Linked DNA regions of Yarrowia lipolytica. The protein of the gene in region 1 interacts with the protein of each later gene in a biochemical or structural test. Links are inferred from orthologs where the notes say so. Each region holds a gene or a part of one and is shown in the gene's direction. Other genes may lie near its edges.

What was found. The genes of interacting proteins can lie anywhere in the genome.
Region 2: the proteins of YALI1_E23691g (region 1) and YALI1_E26205g form a complex in vitro, tested with the Saccharomyces cerevisiae proteins (2 studies listed by BioGRID, with this or other methods). The link is inferred for Yarrowia lipolytica from reciprocal best matches to the Saccharomyces cerevisiae genes COP1 and ERV25.

Annotation. Positions count from the first base shown.
Region 1 is NC_090774.1:2,366,943-2,374,523, forward strand, and holds YALI1_E23691g (uncharacterized protein), read left to right. Parts: upstream 1-2,177; coding exon 2,178-5,963; downstream 5,964-7,581. Other genes in the region: YALI1_E23736g (uncharacterized protein), read left to right, coding at 6,696-7,451. UniProt on the Saccharomyces cerevisiae protein: The coatomer is a cytosolic protein complex that binds to dilysine motifs and reversibly associates with Golgi non-clathrin-coated vesicles, which further mediate biosynthetic protein transport from the ER, via the Golgi up to the trans Golgi network.
Region 2 is NC_090774.1:2,617,687-2,622,348, forward strand, and holds YALI1_E26205g (uncharacterized protein), read left to right. Parts: upstream 1-2,883; coding exon 2,884-3,519; downstream 3,520-4,662. Other genes in the region: YALI1_E26181g (uncharacterized protein), read right to left, coding at 1-454, 649-860; YALI1_E26223g (uncharacterized protein), read right to left, coding at 3,840-4,610.

The DNA of each region.
Region 1 (7,581 bases):
TCCATATGCGTCTGTAGATGGCGATGATTTGTAATTGCATATTTTGAGGGAGCAGGGAAACAGTGGCTCTTTCGATTCGGCGTTTTTCCGGCTCAATTGCGGCGTTTTTTGAACCCGTTTGGCTGGCCCTATTCTGGCTATTAAGTCACCACTTTTGACAGTGTCATTTAGCACAATTAAGATCACTATATAAATAAAGAACACAATATAAATAAAGAATATTGTTACTCGAACTTTTTTTCTCTCTAGAAAATATAGCTCTAGAAAAGCTACGAGCGACCAAATGTAAACAAAAATTATACCGCCGGAATTACACGATCGCCATCTCTCCAATTGACTACTTTTCAGCTCCATCCGGGCGCTCAATCATCAGCCGCAATGGTTCTCGTCCACCATTAAAGTTGTCATTTTATTTATTTTTATTCTGTTTGCCACCCAGGTCTTAGTCTTGAGTGCGCCCAAGAATGGAATAATTGCGAGAGATCGGCAGTTTGTCCGAACTGCATAAGTACGAGTTACAGTATCAGTATCGGTCGAGTCGAGCATGTGTCGACACACCTCGTTATCGGAGGTCTGATGAAGAGATCATGACTCAGCAACGAGACAGTTCCGCGATATCAACCAGTATAATAGGGAAACGTGAGAGTAATACTACTGAAGTATTGTATGGCCGGGTTCCAGAGCTATCTGGAAGGCTGTCCACAAACCTGATCAACATATTCAGATAGACGATGAACGTGAAAGGACGTGAAGGAACGTGAAAGGACGTGAAGGAACGTGAAAGGATGTGAAGTAAGATGATAGTCGAAGAGAACGTAAACCAATTGAGGACTTTTCATGTCATTGAGACGGTCGCAAAGTGACGATACGCAGTTGGACTAGGTATGATCTGCTAGAGTCCACACATCCACATTGAGTAAAGAGTACACTATAGAGTACACCGTTAGTGGACATCATTGTATCATTGAACTCCCCACGCCGGGCTGATTCGAATGGCGTAACTACTGGAGATATCGAGAAAAAGTGGGTTTTTCAGTGTTGCTTAGATCGAAGCTTTGAAAATCCACTTTGAAAAAATTACTGTTATCATGTTTACTACGAGTACAGAATGTAGGTCGTTTCATACGAAATTCCCGACATGCGAGTATTGTCACGTTTTTTTTTTTATATATATATTTTTATAATGACATAATACATTTTTATAACATACTAATATTTTTAATATCATTTTTACAACATGATATATTTTATTTAAAGACATTTTTACAACATCATACATATTACAACATACATTCCTACAGGGCTACAGTACATAATGTATGAATACAATGTTATAACATAACATTTTTCGTATTATTTTCTGCAGTATGCGTTTTTCTGTAGTGATACAACTTAAATAATTTATTGTCTCCAGTTGAGAGTTTACTTGGGAGTAGACGACGGGGATGTGAACAAAAGACTGTTCTAATTCCACCAAAACACGAGATATTCGGACCAAAATTTGACCGTATCATGTTTGGGCTACAATTGTCCGAATCAGCTTGTTATATTTGCTCCAATGCCTCCCACTTCCCATCCACAACACCGTTAGTGTCCTCCCCATCTTCCCCAAATTCTCCGTCAAAATAAACTTTGTGCCACGTTCTCCCAACACGTCACTTCGAGAACGCACTACCTCGATCTTTCTTCAACTGAGAACACATCTCACAATCCGTCAAGATGGAGATGCTAACTAAGGTGAGTAATCGAGGCGGGTTTTTGAGCGGTCAGGTGATCATTGGGCGAGAAATCGAGGCGGGTTTTTGAGCGGTGAGGTGACCATTGGGCGAGAAATCTAGACCGCCGGCGATGACACTATTAGGGCGACAGACAGAAGCGACACAGAAGCGACACAGAAGCGACACAGAAGCGACGCAGAAGCGACAGACAGCGTGGAATGAAGTGCGGGGGTGAAATGTGATCAACCGTTGCTCATGACGAGACGCATTATGGGACAAACGTGGTAGCGACATGGTAGCGACATGGTAGCAATGACAACAATATGATGACCTGTTGGCACACTGGCTTGGTTTGCCCATGTTCACGTTACTCCTTGTCGTTCACCAATCTGCTGCTTCACAACAGAGGTTGTTGCTTTAAGACAACTACTCGGTCTTGTTCACATTTGATGTGTCCAGATGTGTGTGACCACGGCCTGTTTACGTTGTGACGCGTTGTGTCATCCCGGTAGTCAGCTCATGCCATATCCTGATTCCACTCGTATACTAACCCAGTTTGAATCAAAATCTTCCCGAGCCAAAGGCCTAGCCTTTCACTCGACCCGCCCCTGGGTCCTGGTCTCGCTCCACTCGTCCACCATCCAACTCTGGGACTACCGAATGGGAACCCTGGTGGACCGGTTCGAGGACCACGATGGCCCCGTTCGAGGTGTCGACTTCCACAAGACCCAGCCGCTGTTTGTGTCCTGTGGCGACGACTACAAGATCAAGGTCTGGTCGCTACAGACCCGAAAGTGTCTCTTCACTCTCGTCGGCCACCTCGACTACGTGCGAACCGTCTTCTTCCACCACGAGCTGCCCTGGATCATCTCGTGTTCCGATGACCAGACCATTCGAATCTGGAACTGGCAAAACCGACAGGAGATTGCCTGTCTCACCGGCCACTCGCACTACATTATGAGTGCTCAGTTCCACCCCTCCGAGGACCTGGTTGTGTCTGCCTGTCTGGATCAGACCGTGCGAGTGTGGGACATTTCCGGCCTGCGAAAGAAGCACTCTGCCGGCGGCGGCGTGTCTGCTGGCGGCGCAGGCTCATCCATGTCGTTCGAAGAGCAGATGATGATGGCTGCTCGAAACAGCGGTGGTCCCGGCGGCCCCGGCGGACATCCCCAGCAGGGTGGCCAGGACATGTTTGGCAACCAGGACTGTATTGTCAAGTACGTTCTTGAGGGCCACGATGGTGGTGTCAACTGGGCGACTTTCCATCCCACTCTGCCTCTCATTGTGTCTGGTGGTGACGACCGGGTCCTCAAGATTTGGCGAATGAGCGACACCAAGGCCTGGGAGGTCGATACCTGCCGAGGCCACACCAACAACATTCTGTCGTGTTGTTTCCACCCCTACCAGGACGTGATTGTGTCTGTGTCCGAGGACAAGACGATCCGAACCTGGGACCTGCACAAGCGAACTCTCATCAAGCAGTTCAAGCGGGAGAACGACAAATTCTGGGCCCTCACTGCTCACCCCAACATCAACCTGTTTGCTGCTGGCCACGAGAGCGGTATCATGGTGTTCAAGATGGAGCGAGAGCGACCCGCCTCCACCATTGACGGCAACTCGCTGCTCTACATGTCTAAGGAGAAGCAACTCAAGCTGTTTGACTTCAACTCAGAGCAGGACAGTATGCCCCTGGTGTCTCTCAAGAAGTACGGCTCGCAGTATTCACCCATTCGGTCCATCAGCTACAACCCTGCTGCCCGGGCTGTGCTGCTGCTCACCAAGGACAAGGACCAGTTTAACTACAACCTGGTCCATCTGCCCAAGGACGCTGCCAGCGGTGGCATTGAGGCCACCGAGGAAATTGGCGGCAACGCTGCTCAGGCCGTCTTTGTGGCCCGAAACCGATTTGCCGTCTTCAACAAGAATGCCCAGACCATTGACATACGGGACTTGAGCAACACCACCACCCGAACCATCAAGCTGCCCAAACAGGTCAAGGATATTGTGGTTGTCCCCGGCTCGTCGGGCCAACTTCTCCTGCTGGGTCCTTCCCACGTCTACCTGCTGGACGTTGCCCAGAAGACCATTGTGGCCGAACTTGCTGTGTCCGGCGTCAAGTATGTCAACTGGAGCAAGGACGGCAAGCACGTGGCATTGCTGACCAAACACACCGTGACCATTGCTTCTGCCACCACGCTCAAGTTCATTTCGTCTCTTCACGAGACCATTCGAATCAAGTCCGCGTGCTGGGACGACAACGGAGTGCTGCTTTACACCACTCTCAACCATCTCAAGTACACTCTGCTCAACGGCGACTCCGGCATCATCAAGACTCTGGAGAACACTCTGTACATTGTGCGGGTTAAGGACCGACGAGTCTACTGTCTGAACCGAGCTGGCGAGGTGGAGGTGGTCCGAATCGACCCCACCGAGTACCGGTTCAAGCGGGCGCTGGTCAACAAGAACTTCTCTGAGGTGCTGCGAATCATCAAGTCGTCCAACCTCGTGGGCCAATCCATCATTTCGTACCTGCAGAAGAAGGGCTACCCAGAGATTGCGCTGCAGTTTGTGCAGGACCCTAAGGTCAAGTTTGATCTCGCCATCGAGTGCGGCAACCTGACCGAGGCCCTGGAGCAGGCCCAGATTCTGGACGAGCCCTCGTACTGGACGCTGCTCGGAAAGGAGGCTCTGTCGCAGGGCAACTTCCGAATCGTCGAGCTCGTGTACCAGAAGCAGCAGCTGTTTGACAAGCTGTCGTTTGTCTACGTGCTTGCCGGCGACTCGCCCAAGCTGCAGAAGATGGCTGCCATTGCTGCCCACCGAGGCGACGGTGCCTCCATGCTCCAAAACTCCCTGTACACCGGTTCGGTAGAGTCTCGAGTTGATCTTTTCCGATCGGCCGGTCTGCTGTCTCATGCCTACGCTGCTGCCAAGCACGGAGGTCTAGACGACGTTGCTGCAGATATTCTGGCCGAGGCCGGCGTTGAGGAGGGCGACGTGAAGATGACCCTTGGTGAGGGTCTCAAGCCCGCCACTCCCGCTGTCCAGCAGCCTCTCGGCGACTGGCCTCTCAAGCAGACTTCCCTTTCCTTCTTTGAGCAAGCTCTGCTTGGCCAGGTTGAGGTTGACGAAGGCGAGGACGACGACGACGAGGAAGACGGAGTTCGAGCCGTCACCTCGGACATGGTCGATCTCGACCTTGAGGACGACGACGGCGATGGTGATGCTGGATGGGACATGGGCGACGATCTCGACGTTGATGACGTTGAGGTTGCTCCCGTTGCTCCCTCTACTCCCTCGTCCAAGGGCCACAAGAAGAATGCTTCTGTGAACCTTGACGCCACTTCGTCCGAGCCCGAGAACTGGATCCGGGCTTCGTCTGTCGCCGCTGTGCATGTCGCAGCCGGTTCTTTCGAGACTGCCGCCCAGCTGCTCAATCGCCAGATCGGTATTGTCGACTTTGAGCCTCTGCGACAGCGGTTCATGACCGTGTACGAGGCCTCCAAGCTGTACTACAAGTCTAACGCAGATCTGCCTCCCCTGGAGCTCTTTGTGAGAGGCGCTCTCAACGACGACACCTCTCTGCCTCTTGTCCCCGGCTTTGACTCTCTTTCTTCCGATGTCAAGGCTGCTTTCCGGCTTATCCGAGCCAACGACGTCCCTGCTGCCATTTCCGCTTTCCGTCAGATTCTCTACACTGTTGCCGTCATGCTTGTGCCCACGCACGACTCTGTGGACGAGTGCGAGAAGATTATTGACATTTGCCGGGAGTACATTGGCGCGTTTTCCATCGAGCTGGAGCGTCGACGAATCGCCGAGGAGGATCCCAAGCGCAACCTAGAGCTGGCCGCCTACTTTACCAAGTTCAAGCTGCAGCCCGCCCATGCTGGTTTACCCTGGCAGGTGGCCATGACCCAGGCGTTCAAGCTCAAGAACTACGCTTCTGCTTCTGTGTACGCTGAGAAGTTCCTGGAGACCAACCCTGCTCCTGCGCAGGCCGAGAAGGCTCGAAAGGTGAAGCACCGAGCAGATGCGCAGCCTCTAGACGCCATTGAGCTGGACTTTGATGTGACCGCCAACTTTGCTATTTGTCCCCGGTCTCTCAAGCCCATTTACCCCGGCGATGCATCTGAGAAGGATCCTTTCACCGGAGCCGAGTACCTGCCCAAGCACAAGGGTCAGTTGGATGTTATCGGAGGTATTTCTGCCATTGGCGCTCCTTCCACCGGTCTCAAGTTGATTTAGTGGGGGACCAGTCTGTGGTGGTCTCAAAACTTGTTTGTATGTATGTAAGAATTGGAATGTTTTACCTAAGCTTGTGCGATACTTGTATATGGAGGCAGGAGCAATGATTTAAGGCAGTTTTTGTGTATCCAGCAATTTTCGGCAGTATTTGCGTTCCTCCAATATTTTTGCTTTGAATATTGTATTCTGAGTGTCAACTATAATCCTAAGTAAACCTCGACGTCTGTTGAGACAACTAATAGCAATATCCGGCAATTTTGTAGTGTACGGTCCGAGAATTGTTGGTTATTTAAATATATACGCTTTTTCTGAATTTTTTGGTATATATCTCTTTCTTCTGGCATATCTGGAACCTCTTATTTGCACCCCCAGCCGATTTTTTCTTCAACTAATTCCCAAGTAATTAACGTCGTGTTAAGTGATGGTGCCTCGAAACTCTGTTTGTTACCCCACATATAAGAGTGTGGGGGTGGTGAGTGGGGTGTGATAGTCAGATGTTGAGATACTTGGATGGAGGTTGGATATGAGAGGCGTTTTGATGTGGGTGTTTCTCCAGATGGAAATGGCTGAGTCAGATTCATTGCTGACTAATTTATATGGGTTATATATCTTCATTTATGACAATTTTGGACCACGTGAAAGTCTCCATATTAGCCTTGTTCTTAGTATATATAGTCTGTCCTATGCTCCCCTCCCTCCTTCCTTTTGGGACCCGATTCTCCTTTCAACAACATGGGCGAATTATCAGATCATACGGCCGTCATCACCGGCGGCTCCGGGGACCTTGGAATGGCCATCGCCGAGAAATTGGCCCTCAATGGATGCACTATCATTCTACTGGACTACAACCAGGAGGCTCTGGACAAGAGTGTTCCACTGATACCTGTTCCCGAGGGCCAGCGACACCAGGGCCATTTCTACGACGTTACCGGGGCTCAGCGACCGCCTGTGGACTTTGCGGCTGTTGATATTCTGGTCAATGGCGCGGGAATTGCCCAAGGAGGGTTCTTGCCAGATATGGAGGTGGAGCTCATCGACAAGATTGTGGCCACAAACCTCACTGGAGCCATCAAGTTGACCAAGTATGCCCTGGAGGCATGGGTGGAGCGCCACGAGAACTCGCCGCGTCCCAAGAGCCGTGGCAACGGCGTCATCATCAATCTGGCGTCGGTCCAGGGACTCCGGCCCATCATCCCGGTCTTGTCCGTCTACTCCACCACCAAGGCTGCTCTCAACATGTTCACCAAGGCCGTGGCGGTGGAGGGAGGCGCTTATGCGATTCGCAGCAACTCTGTGTGTCCCGGATACGTGCCTACTAATATGACCGATGGCATGGAGGTGCCCGAACGGCCCTCCCTGGTGGAGGACGACGACGACGTTGGATGGGTGTCCAGAGACAGTATTGCGAGGGCGGTGTACTATTTTGCCACCAATTTGCAGGTTTCGGGCGCCATTTTGGCTGTTGATAAGGCTATGAGTTCGCTGTAGAGTCCGTGGACATTGGTCGACTTCAAGAGCCATATCTGGACAGATTTGCGCGGGAAAATGTGGATATCAGTATATCGATGGAGTCGTCGGAGCATTCCGAGTTCATTGGTATACTTTTTTGTCACCGCTT
Region 2 (4,662 bases), about 250 kb from region 1:
TTTGAGCGAGTCTCTCCAGTCTGTGGCCAAGGCATGGTCGTCTGTGTGCTGCATGTACTCTGGAAGAGTGAATGTTCCTGAGGGCTTGAGAAGATTGTATTCGTCTGCTGGTTTGAGGGACAAGTGGTCGATTTCTGAGTCGGTGGCGGCCAATAGTAGATTGTAGAAAACGGTGAAGGCCCGGTTGTCCTTTTCGTGAGGCAGGTGTGTCAGCATTTTGACCGAGGACAGGGGCAGGTCTGACAGCATGATTCGAGTTTTGCACACGTTTCCGTCGGCGTCCAGAGAGACGCAGACAGACAGGCCATTGTGCAGCAGTGTGTCGACGTTTTCAGGTGTCTGGGCCGTCAGAAACGGCTCCAGCACGTTGAGGGCCGTGGCTGTCTGGGGCGGGATGTTGGGGAACTCTTGCAGACATGCCAGGAAAGAAGAGGGGGCTGACGGTATCGATGATCTGTGTTAGTGGCATTCAATAGGTGGTTTGGAGGTAGCATCAGGGAGAAGTAATGCTTCTTGCATCCAAACAGCTTTGTTGCGTTGAGGCAGTAGCATTGAAATTCAGGACGCAGGACGTATGGTCATGAAGACGTTCGCTCATGATGTAGTTCCTCTGCCAGAGCCGTGGCTCGTTCCGTCAGTTGTACTCACCCAATAAAAATACTCTGATCTTCGGAACGCTTCCAGGCGTGCTCCCACACGGAGTTGAGGAAATCGATGTCAATGTGGCCGTCAAGGACGAGCACCGAGGTGGAATCGATTCGAAGCGAACGATCTGCGGAGTTGTACTGCTGGTGTAGGGTGCCGAGCAGCGCCGAGGTCGATATTGGCACCGCGGCGGAAGACAGCGGAGGCACGTTCATCTTGGTGGCTTGCGTGTGTCGGGAAAGCTGTCCGTCTGAAGATGTCTACAGAATGAAGCTATTAGTGGAGCTACAGTACATACATACAGGTAGCCTCTCTCTTAAATGTGCGCTAAAAATAGTATGGTTTGAAACCAACCTTAGGTGGGAAAGAGGTAAACAGATGATTGGAAAAAGGTGGACTTAGTGTAGACATGTGTCAGTGGACATAAAATGAGGGACACAAGCTTCTTGAAAATCCTCAGCGCCTTTTGTCGTGGTGTTTTTCCACCCGGAAGCATTTCTACAAGAGCGTCAAATAGGGGGATGCAGCAAGTCCCAAGAATACAAAAATACCAACCTCATACAAGCACTTGTCCCACCCACGCACCCTTCATGCACCCTTGCACATGTCAGCCAATTGTGGTTATATATATAAGGCGGGCTATAGGCCACTTTGAGACGGTAGTGCCAGTGGGTGGCAGTCTGGTAGCGGCATTTTCCGCCCCACGGCTGATTATAGACTGCCACGGTTTCAAAAAGACTCAACATCCGCCTCTTTCGGCGTCTCTCTCGCCCGCAATATCTCTCACTGTACAGCCAGCAAACGGTATATTGATACATACAGGTAGGGCGGGTTTAGGCTGTAGGGAAAGGTGATGAGCCAGCCTCGTGCAAGGGGGGACGTGAAAAGAGCGACCTACGAAACCACCAGTTGGGATGGAAACAAACACAAAAAGCTCACTTTCAAGGACATGAGACTGCTGGGGTCGTGTACAGGAATTGCACTCCCGGCACACTAATTATAATCCCACATTCAACCCCTGACATTGACAGCTTGCAGTCTCCAGATAATTTAAATTGAAGGCTAATCCGGACCTGACAACACATGAAGTTGCACCAGTGATTGCAGAACAGAACAATGGTACTTGTACAAATACGAGTACTGGCCGAAGAGAAGTACATACGGTATATATATTGACCGATGACTTCTTAGATAGGCGAGTTAGACCACTACAAACATTGCAATATTGCAGTGTACAGTATGTATACTATACCGCGATGTGCTGTAGCTGGATACAGTACGATACCGGAACTTGTGCTGACACTTGAATTTTTCAGTCGTACTTTCAATCGTACTTTCAGTCGTACTTTCAGTCGTACTTTTAGTCGTACTCTCACTCGCACACTCGCCTCGTACAGTGTACATAGTTGTTCCGATAGCGATCATCTCTCCAAACTGATACAGAGGATCGACATGCTGCGCTGTCTGTCGGTGGTCACTATGCTTGATATACTACAAGTACCTGTAGCTATAGTGCAGTCATAATCTGACCGAGAAATGGAACGAAGCCATAGCCGAACTACAATGTAGTACCACAAGATGTGAAGCAGCAGCCAAATGAATGAACCTAGTTGGCTTTGGTGTTTTTTGGGCACCTGTTGACCCGCTTATTCATCCTTCCACCTCACTTGCCGTGCGTGTCTCTCCCAACTCGACCCCGGCACACGATCATATTACTGTATGCGCCAACGATCTTGTCTGAAGAGATGGATTAAGTTCTGTTGGAAGAGGAGGATCACGTGAATTGGGGTATAAATAGAGACCTAGACGTGTTTCGTCGGTTCGGAGGCTGTCACAACCCATCCCCCAACCCCAACCCCCCATCATATTCGTCACGTGACGGTGCGCTGCTCTCCCTCTCATTGCTATGAGTCTCCAACTGCTTCGTGGGCGCAATCAAGGTTCGGAGTTTTGAAAGGGTCTTTTCGCTTGATCTCAGATTGAGAGCCGTGCGCAGTGGACGTTATAAGGACTCTTTTCGACTGGCCCAGACCTCACTGCAAATCCACAGTCTGAACAGGGCCCCTAGCCACCCTTATATACTTTCTAGCCACCAGCTATACCGCTTTTAAGGACCACAAAGTTACCACCTACCACAACCCTGAACACGCGTAAAGTTAACACGTAACTATCACACGCTAAGTGCACTCCACCTTCCTACCTTTTCAACTCAACACATACACAGACCGAACGCCAACCATGAAATCCATCGTGAGCGTGCTGACCCTGCTGCTCCTCATCAACGCCGTGGCCGCCCTGCGGTTTGTGCTGCCTGCCAAGGACAAGAACGAGCTGCCCTTTTGTGTGCGAGACTTTGTCAAGAACGGCGAGCTCGTTGTCGTCACTGTCGAGTCTCCCAAGTACGCTGACGGCCAGCAGCTGAGCGTGGTCGTTCGAGACGCACATGGAAACGAGTACACCCGAATCAAGAATGTTCTGGGCCGAGAGATCACCACCTTTAGCTCTCATCAGGACACTGCTCTGGACGTGTGCTTCCACAACGTGGCCAACTCGCACCAGGATCTCGGAAAGACCAAGGAGATTGATCTGTCGGTCGCCATTGGAGCCAACGCCCGAGACTGGGAGCAGATCCAGGCCTCCGAAAAGCTCAAGCCCGCAGAGGTGCAGCTGCGAAAGATCGAGGAGATCGTCGATGAGGTGGACAAGGAAATGAACTACCTCAAGATGCGAGAGATCAGGCTGCGAGACACCAACGAGTCCACTAACCGACGAGTCAAGTTCTTCTCCGTCGGCATCACCTTGGCTCTCATTGCTCTCGGCGTCTGGCAGATCATCTACCTCAGATCTTACTTCCGATCCAAGCATATCATTTAAAAGGGGTTCAAATCAAAAAATTGATAATTGTTAGAATGAAAAGAGACACAATGTGACGCGCTCGAGAATGAGGACGCTTGAAAAGTGTCTGCTTGTAGTGGTCAGAAAGGACTGTTGTGTACTCGTAGAACGTGAAAGCTGATTTGGACGACAAATCGTGATCTGATGAACAATGGTTATAACGATTGTAATGGTTGCACTATATACTCACTACTTGTATGGTCATTAGGTAATTCGTATCTTTCGTTACATATAAATAAACGCTCGCCAAGAGGTCATCGCATATGCTTGCGTCTGATCTGGGTCTCTCTTCTGGACTTTTAGAGCTTCTTCAGTAACCCCTCAAATGCTTGAATATCAATCTTGCCGCCGACAGCTCCAGCCACCTCCATCATGTCTTTGAAATCCTTCTCACTGGCGTTATCTTTCACCAACTTGGCTATTCGTCGTAGATCAGCAGTGTTAATCGTGTCTGACTTTGTGAACCATGAGAACGCCAGAGGCACATCTTCTACAAAAACATTGTTCTTCTTCCTCTTCTTCTTTTTCGGTTTCTCTTCAATCGGCTCAATTATTCCACCTGTCCCTCCATCACTGGCAACAAAGAACCCTCCTCCTTCATCGCCCTCTTCTTCACTGGCCACAAACCCACCTCCCTCGTCTTCGTCACTGGCCACAAAACCTCCGCCGCCTTCACTCGATGCGTCGTCTTCAATGTCAGCGATTTCCTCCGCGAGAAACCCTCCCTGGTCGTCCCCTGAGCCCTCTCCTTCAGACACAAACCCCGGATCCAGCACCTGGCGCGTGATCATGCGTGAAAAGCCGTCACTGAAGTCGTCGAAGGTGATCACATCGTTGAGAAAATGCGGTTTGAGTATATTCACGCATTCGTCAAGGTTGTCCGTGCCCGAAAACTCCTCCACAGACCAACCCAGGTCCATTATCACGAGTGGCACATCAAACGCCGATATGACTCCGTCTTCTGCATGTTCGTCGAACGCCGCCTGTAAAGCCGTTTTCTCCACTCCCGACAATCGCACCGGTCGCCCAGGCTTGGCACTGCTGATGGTGAATGACTTGGTCCAGTCCATGTCCTGTGGTGGTGTTTTCTGAATCAGCACTTTATTGTATTGTGAAGAAACA